2 linked regions of the Bombyx mori genome follow. The protein of the gene in region 2 purifies or fractionates together with the protein of the main gene of each other region. This does not show direct contact. Links are inferred from orthologs where the notes say so. Each region holds a gene or a part of one and is shown on either strand. Other genes may lie near its edges. The genes, in order: DNA-directed RNA polymerase II subunit Rpb4 and rotamase Pin1.

Evidence for each region.
Region 1: the proteins of rotamase Pin1 (region 2) and DNA-directed RNA polymerase II subunit Rpb4 purify together in Homo sapiens (co-immunoprecipitation; 3 studies listed by BioGRID and IntAct, with this or other methods). This does not show direct contact. The link is inferred for Bombyx mori from reciprocal best matches to the Homo sapiens genes PIN1 and POLR2D.

What each region holds. Positions count from the first base shown.
Region 1 is NC_085114.1:9,607,472-9,611,821, reverse strand, and holds the start of DNA-directed RNA polymerase II subunit Rpb4, read right to left. Parts: upstream 3,080-4,350; 5' UTR 2,970-3,079; exon of another isoform or gene 2,961-2,969; intron 2,163-2,960; 5' UTR 1,796-2,162; intron 1-1,795. Other genes in the region: uncharacterized protein LOC119628842, read left to right, coding at 3,416-3,464, 3,657-3,896, 4,074-4,232. UniProt on the Homo sapiens protein: Core component of RNA polymerase II (Pol II), a DNA-dependent RNA polymerase which synthesizes mRNA precursors and many functional non-coding RNAs using the four ribonucleoside triphosphates as substrates.
Region 2 is NC_085107.1:9,297,172-9,301,775, reverse strand, and holds the start of rotamase Pin1, read right to left. Parts: upstream 3,108-4,604; 5' UTR 3,049-3,107; intron 2,948-3,048; 5' UTR 2,901-2,947; coding exon 2,837-2,900; intron 879-2,836; coding exon 654-878; intron 387-653; coding exon 166-386; 3' UTR 1-165. UniProt on the Homo sapiens protein: Peptidyl-prolyl cis/trans isomerase (PPIase) that binds to and isomerizes specific phosphorylated Ser/Thr-Pro (pSer/Thr-Pro) motifs.

The sequences.
Region 1 (4,350 bases), on a different chromosome or scaffold from region 2:
ATTTCATTGCACCCGAGTGTAGATATATTTTGATCCTAATAAAAGGTTAAAGACTTTGTTTGAGTTTTCTTGCCTATTCATTAAACACAAAAGTGCCTTCGAACAAACACGGATTTGTGGAGCTTAATCAAGGCGCATACTTGCAAACCCGTGCGCGATTGGAGGACGCGTACCCTGAATTGAACACGTGTTTAGAAGGGCAGTTGGCGTTGCAAACCCGTGCGCGATTTGAGGACACGTGCCTTGAATTGAACACGATTTTGTAAAGGAAGCTAGCGCGACAAACCCGTGCGTGTTTCAAGGCAGTACTGCCTCCTAATGAACACGGAAATGGAAATACGCTACCCGGTCGAGGGGGGTAACGGACCGGGTTATGTCGGACTCCGGCGCCTCCTGGCCTGGCCTCCTGAGAGGAAGAAGGGGAGAAGAGAAGGGCCGAGGTCCTTCACCTGCCCCAATTTCTCATAGGAGACTACGCCTTGAAAAAGGCGCGCGAAGCACTTACCCCGCAGAACGACTACCGACTAAACCCCATCGAGCTCCACCACACCGACTACACGAAACTTACGGTACCGCGATGCGCGCCGAAAGTCTCGCCTTAGGCGGTACCCGTACTAATGTTAAGACGGGATTTCATCCCCGGGAAAATCCCGTAGTCGTCGTGGCCTAACGGATAAGACGTCCGGTGCATTCGTGTTGAGCGATGCATCGGTGTTCGAATCCCGCAGGCGGGTACCAATTTTTCTAATGAAATACGTACTCAACAAATGTTCACGATTGATTTCCACGGTGAAGGAATAACATCGTGTAATAAAAATGAAACCCGCAAAATTATAATTTGCGTAATTACTGGTGGTAGGACCTCTTGTGAGTCCGCACGGGTAGGTACCACCACCCTGCCTATTTCTGCCGTGAAGCAGTAATGCGTTTCGGTTTGAAGGGTGGGGCAGCCGTTGTAACTATAATTGAGACCTTAGAACTTATATCTCAAGATGGGTGGCGCATTTACGTTGTAGATGTCTATGGGCTCCAGTAACCACTTAACACCAGGTGGGCTGTGAGCTCGTCCACTCATCTAAAAAATCTGTCTCTGTAATAAATTAACTTTTTAAACAAGATTTAAATATAAAACAGTAAAATTGCTCGTGTTTTGGATATAAAACTGCAAAAATATTCGTAAAATATCGAAAACCGAATCAGAGCACATCACTTTCCACCTGGTCTTGTCTGCCCTACCCCTAGAGTGTATATAAAAAACCGGAGGCGCGGAGGGAGAGCAGTCCTCGCCAATATTAGTTAGTATTTAAAGTATTAAGTACATTTTGGCAAAACTAGCTTCACATATCATTAATATTAATAAATTCAGTTGTCAGTCCTAAGCCTGAGAAAGCATGAAGGATTGTTTTCATTTAAAAAAATGTATTAAAACCATTTCATATGTTATAACTGTTCCTATAAGTGGACATATTCTATTTAAAACATTATTAAACCTGTTGCAAAACAAAACGCTGTTATATTGGAACAGGCTACTGGAACTGTTCTTTCGCTGGAACAGGAACAGGTGGAACAGGTCTCTAATTTCACCTGTTACAGACCATCCCTAGTTTGGACAGGCAAAGGGAGATTAGTCGATTTAGCAAAGGATTCTGTAATGGGAACTATCACGGAAAAAAGATTGCTCCAAAATCGCGAACAGTAGTTGGCTTATGTAAATTTTAACACCACGTTGCATGATTGAAAAATAATACCCACTAGATAAATTTTCCATTCTTACTTCTCAAATGAAAATAATTACCTGTGTCGAAACTATTCCAGCCTTCACACTTACACAATTATCACCTGATCAACTTTGACTACCGTGGCCCCGGCACATCTTACGTTCTTCGATAGTCTACCTACCTACTACTTCGATAGTATACTTAAGTGTCAATAAATTCCCACTATTTTACTGGAACATCTTTAATTTATTTCATCTTAACACGTTTCATTCCATTTAGTTTCATTAAATTTCATCCAGAGCATCCATTAGTCACGTCCACTGAACTCTCAGTTAATAATCCTTGTTTTACTGAGACGATTTTATTTCATCCCATTGAGGGAGTCCGTATAAAGTCCCTTCTTTATTTCGCGGGAAAATCGTGTTTTATGTAATTAACACCACACTTGAAACAATAGGAGTTTTATTGTTGCAGCGGCTTATACAGTTCTAAGTTATACCATTTTTTTTTTTCGTCCTTTAAATATTCAGCGGTAAAAAAAATTTTTTTGGGTATTTTATGTCCAGCTCAACTAAGACCTTTAGGTCATGTCTTATTTTAATTCATATTCTTAATTTTATGAAAAATTATATAATGGAAAGAAGTGAAATGCAATGAAGATGATTAATTTGAGACAATAATCAAGTAAGATGAAATTAAATATAGTGAGATGAGATGATATGGGATGAAATATAATCTCAGTAAAATGGTGGTCATTTAATGAAAGGACATGGGCCATTTTCGGCCCAGCTACTCGTGCCCTCAAGGACATTAATAAAATATCTATAGAAAAAAACATTTCATTTTTACATACTTATTATAAAATTTAAGGGTATTTTAATGGTGGGATAATCAAAAGCATAAATAAAAAGAAATACTTAAGCATGATTAAGCTACATTGATAATATTGAAGGAGCTGCCATGGGTAAAATATATTTATATTTTAAATAATTCATATTAAATCTTCTTAAAGAAAACAATGTATTACAAAAAACTAGCAAAATATATTAACATATTTAATCGATAAATATAAATAATAGATAAGCTGATGATGATGTTCGTTTAGTGGGGCGTGCAATGTATGGTCCATGTCCTTTTTTCAGTGGACTTTTTGGAGGATTCCGGGGAAGTTATGTTCAGCGGCTTTGTTGCATTTTCCCACATTTGTGAACTTTCACAGATATTAAACAGTTAATAAATCACCGTTATTACACATTTAAACCTGAAGAAATACTAAATCGACAAAATAAAACAAATCACACAACTTCACTCCTCGCGTTCCCGCCAAAAAGTCCCGGACTCCCGGCGGTAAAAAGGTCCCGTGTCACAGACTATCTTCTTTTTCCCACCTCTTGTGCGATCCGGCTTACGCATCATAAAACATCCTAGTTTCATATAATGTCACTCAAATTTAAAGACTAACATTAGTTAAGTTCATCTCATTTAGCTTCATATGAATTCTGATTTATCAGATTAGAATTTCTACGTGCTCTTTACGTAGAAATTATATTATAGCTGGACTAGAAGGTCTTGTAACCGCTGGCTGTAAGCCAATTGCAATATTGAAAAATTAAGAAGAACAAAAACACTTCAATTTTATTATCTACTTAGAGACTCGGCTAAAGATATTTATTTCAAATTTAAGTAATAAGTTCGTAATGTCCAAAACTCCAATAAAAGAATTGGCTATCAACTTTGTACCTAGAGGTAATTATTTACATAGAGTTTGATTTATAAACTATTATGGTTACGTTGCTGGGTATCAATATCACTTATTATCAAGTGGGCTGTGAGTTTGTCTGCCCATCATCGATTAAGAAGAAAAAGTTTAACAAACAAAATTTCTGTTGTCCATGTCGATTGAAATAGTAAGTAATTTAATAAATGATATTATTTCAGAGATTACAACTCCAAATAAAGACCAACCAGGCTTATCAAAGACTGTATTTTCACATGTGTCTTCGTTTCATAGTTTGTTAATTGATTGGGTCAAACTAAAAGATAAAGGTTCTAAGTTTTGTAAAGGGATCTCATCAGTGAAACTGCACGAGTATAATGATGATTATTATCCGCACCTATTGAAGCCATTGACTGAGGGCTTAGTTGAAATTATAGATAGCTTTCAAAATATTATCGAGGGTAAGTAAAATGATGTATGTTAGTCTAACAATCAACTACAATATTGGAGTATGTGAGACTACTTTTAATAATGTTACAGTTTAAACAATTTAATGGAATGGAATATACATTAACTTTCTAATCAATCTAATTCTAATGCAAAACTGAACTATGTCATATTTAAATGTTTCATTTCAGGTATAAAAATACTAAAAAATCAACTGGATTCACTATCAAAATTGCAGTCGACTGACCAGCCAGTAATTTTGACATGGTCAGTAGGCCGAATTCATGCTTGTGTTAAAAATACATATGAATCACTCTTAAAGGAGTACAAACTAAAAAAAATTGTGACAGGTGAAAATTATTATTATTTATTGAAACATACTGGTGGTAAGACCTCTTGTGAATCCGCACGGGTAGGTACCACCACCCTGCCTATTTTAGACGTGAAGTAGTAATGCATTTCAGTTTG
Region 2 (4,604 bases):
ATTGTAAACTTCTTCAAGAATGCTGGAAAAAAAGGAAGACAGTCTCAATTTATGTAGTAGAAAGAAAAAGATCTATACTTGATTGTATTTGCGATATTGTGGGTATATAAGTTTGATATTATTGTTTTACACTTTTTTAAGTAGTATTAACTGTGAAAACAATCTTTAGGCAGTTCTAAGAATGATATGAATGCCAGAGTCAGTGTGAACTGGTTGGCTCAATTGTCCTATTTTCAAGGAAAATGCGACGTCTTCAAATGGTTTCTGCATTTGACCTTTCTTGAAACGACCCAAATCCCCATCACGTTTTGCTGATGAACAATCAGAATATGTACTTGCCAGCTCTTCAAATTTAGCTTCTCTGTCAATGATTTTACGGCGATACTCTGAAAATAATAATACTTTCAAATGTTATTTTTAGTGACTTAATTTTGCACAGAGAAAAAAAGCTATATTTTACTATGTATTTAATTTGTATTTTGCATTATGCATTGAGAATAATCTTCCAACAGTGAACAGACAAGTGTTTTTTTAAAGCAATTAAGTTTAAACTTAATAGATATTTTATTTTTTAAAGAAATTATTTGATTCTTATTTTGTATTTGCCGTTGATGATGGGAATAAATAAAATTTATATTAATTCAATATCTTGCCTTGTAATATATCAAGAGCTTCCTCCTTAGTACGTGTAATATGCTCTTCACGCCATGAGGATGGTCGGCGGCTTCCACTGTGTTTTACAAGCAAGTGGCTGCATCTTACCTCCTTGGGAATACCACCCTCATCATCATCATCTTCATCATCATCATCAGAAGCTGGTCCACCCGGTTTTTCCCATTGAGACTTTTTTGTATGCTTATTGAGATAGTATGTCATTCCTAAAATGAATCAACTATTAAATTTCAGCATAAAATTGACTCACATGTTAGTCCATCCTGTCAGTGAACAGGACAAATTCTCACTAATACATAAGAAGATTGTATGGATAGGTGTTAAGGATAATAAGGATACAGATAAGGATTAATATTATCTTTATAATAACACCTTCACAAAGAATGCTTCATTTTAGAATTTTGTTGACATAAAAAAGGTTATAGTGAGCCAACCTTAAAATATGGACACATTATTATGCTACCGTAGACTATTTCAGAACTTTTAAAGATAACAATTCTGTCATTCATTCATTTGGCTAACTTTAACCAGCAGAACCTCTCAAAAGGAAAACACCCCGTTTTTGAAACATTGTTTATTAGTGTTGCACTTGTATTGGTCTTAATGTGACGTTATATAGCCTATAGTCTTCCTCAATAAATGGGCTAAACACTGAAACATTTTTTTAATTAAGTCCAATAAGTCCTGAGATTAGAATATTCAAACAAATATAAAAATTCTTCATCTTTATAATATTAGTATAGATTTCACAGTTTGGGCAGTCCAAGTTATTACTATGATGGTAAAGTATACCACGTTGGTAAAGTGCATTATTTACGGCATTATTCCCATTACTTATTTCAACCCTTTATATTTGTATCATGGATTTGTTTTTAAGAAAATTGTATGGGAAGTATAAAATTTTAGTGTATAATTATGTACTGATCTGTTAGCTTTAATCGACTTATAAAAAAAAAGAAAAAATATGTAATTTATAGCTTTTTTGGGAAGTAATACTGGTGGCCTGGAGCCCTTCCAATTTCACCAGGACAGGTGGGCGAGCACAGGCTCAGCCAGAAAGGGATAATCTATAGTTTCTGGTTCCAATAGCAAAAGCAATCCCAGCCAAAGACCAGATGACCATTTGAATTGGTCACAACTATTTATCTGCTGTTACAAGTGCATCATTGTTGATACCAATTACAATAATTATAAACTGGTAGGGATTAAAACAATACAATATATAATAATTTTTCAGACAGTTAAAATTGTAAAATGTGAATACAAAATTAAACAGGTAAAATAAGTATTTATTATAAAATATTACATAATAGTCGCATAGTCAAATTTATGCCAACAGCTTTTTATATTATTTTTTTAACTATGGCTGTGATACCCAAAACCTTAAATTGAATATTTAATATTGTGAACCAGTTCTTTTATACTTTTTTATGTGTATGTATATATGTGTCGACAAGCTCACAGTCAATCTTTGTGCTTAACGCGAGTTTTATAACATTCTCGATGGCGTAAAAGTTAACTTAAGTTTGTATGGAGTTGGAAACTTTGCCTACGTTTGCCGCTAGGGGCGTTGTTCCAACTGCATACAAATTTGAGTTAATTTTTATATGCTATGGAGAACATTAAAAAACACACACTAATGTTAAATGGTTTCCACTGCAAACATTGCAGAGCTCATCAAATATCATAATGTAAACAGCGCCACACATCACACACGAGGTGCAAGTCTCGATGTCAATTGTATGACTGCCCCACCCTACAAACCAAAAAGGAATAGCTACTTAACAAGAATAGGCAGGCTGGTGGTTCCTACAGCGCGGGCTCGTAAGACGCCGAATCAACAGTAAATAGTGTTAATAAAAACTCACTGAAGCACTTCAAAAATAAAAACGTTTGAAAGTAGTTTTTAGTAATCACTATATAATAATCAAAACAATTTCTCAATGAAATTTATATAAACACATAGATGGTCTTCGTTGTTTCGATATCGATCCGAGAAATATAAATCTACCTACCAACATTTTACACTCAATGTCTGCCATTTTATCTTAGAAATCAATAACATTCTATTGATTTAGGTTGATTGATTAGAAATTTGATTAATCGTTTATGTTATTTTAACAAAAGAAACATAATAGGTATTAATTGCAAACGCATAATTTACCTGTACTTCTACTCTTGCGAGCTTCCCATCCTTCAGGAAGAATTTCTTCTTGAGTAGAAGCCATGTCGTTGGTGCGTTGTGCCGGGAACGCCAATAGGTTTTTACGTTTTCCTGAAAATTGTTACATATTTATCATACCATTTTAACCTAATCCTTGAAATATCTGAATTTATTAAGAACTCTATCTTTTTATGGAAAGCATTTCTACTTACTTAATTGTAGAAGAAAATTCTTAACGTTACGAACCTTTTGAGACAAATGATGAAACGCATAGATTATACACTTAATATATTAGAGAATGAAACGCAAAGTTGACTCAGTTGACTGTTGAATTCAGTGTAGGTACAAATTGTCTATGACGATGAATAAAACGAATGAAATTGACAGTAGGTGTATATTAAACGAGGGCGGCACTGAAAATTTCGGGAATTAACGAAGTGACAACATTACTATTTAAAAATGTATTTATTGCTTTTCGAAGTATTCTCCGCGAAATTTGACACATTTTTCCATACGACGGAACCAATCATTGAAGCAACCATTCCATTCAGAAGTTGGGGTCTCTAAAATGGCCGTTTTGTAGGCGTCCACAGCTTCTTCAGGTGATGAAAATCTCTGTCCACGCAATTTATTCTTTATTTTAGGGAAAGTATAGAAATCATTAGGGCTTAGGTCGGGGCTGTACGGCGGATGGTCTAATAATTCTATGTTTTCTTGCTAAAAACTCTTTTGTTCTGTGCGCGGTGTGAGAACTCTCATTGTCGTGATGGAGGATGATGCGGCGGTTGCAGTTCTCTTTACGGAGTTCAGAAACGACTTGTGGCAAACAAATACTAGCATACCAATCTGCATTAACCGTTCTTTGTCCCTCAAGAGGAATAGTCGTAACATGGCCGGTTTTGGAGACAAACGTGGCCACCTTTTTTTTTTGCAACACTCCGTGAACGAACAATTTTTGTTGGCTTTAACTCATTTTCGAACACCCAAACTTGTGACTGGTTTTTTGTTTCGGGTTCGTACGCGTATATCCAGGATTCGTCACCTGATACAATGTTGTATACAGCATTTGAGGATCCTGCGTGGAATCTTTCGAGAGTTCTGACGCACAAAGTAACGCGAGCCGCTTTTTGCTCTTCACAGAGCGAATGCGGTATCCATCGGGAAAACAACTTTTTTACACCTAATTGTTCATGCAAGATTATTTGTATTTGACTCATGCCAATGTCTAAAGTTGCCTGAATTTCGCGGTATGTCATATGTCGATCTTCCTCAATCAGCTTACGCACAGCATCAACGTTTTCTTGGGTGACTGCAGTTTTTGGACGACCTTGACGGGGATCATCACTAAGCTTGACACGTCCACGTTGAAACTCAGCAAACCAGCGCTAAAATGGGGTTTTGGATGGGGCTTCATCACCAAATGCAGAAATCATCCGGTCAACACACTGTTTTTGTGTTAAACCACTTCGAAAGTCATAATAAATCATCGCTCTTGAATTTTCTCGAGTCAATTCCATTTTCTCAACGACTAAACAAGTTTGACAAAACCTCGTGACAAGACCGAGAATCTTTTTTTAAATAAATAAATGGTATTCGATTTTTAAAACCAAGGAGTTTTCAATTAAAAATATTTTAATATGACAGGAACAGTGGAAATATTCCATTCCCGATACTTTTAGTGCAGCCTAGTAGGAAGTAAAACTATTTGAATGTTTGGGTTTTTCGGCGAAAGCCAAAATTATATTTTGTTGGACGGTTAAATTTGAGG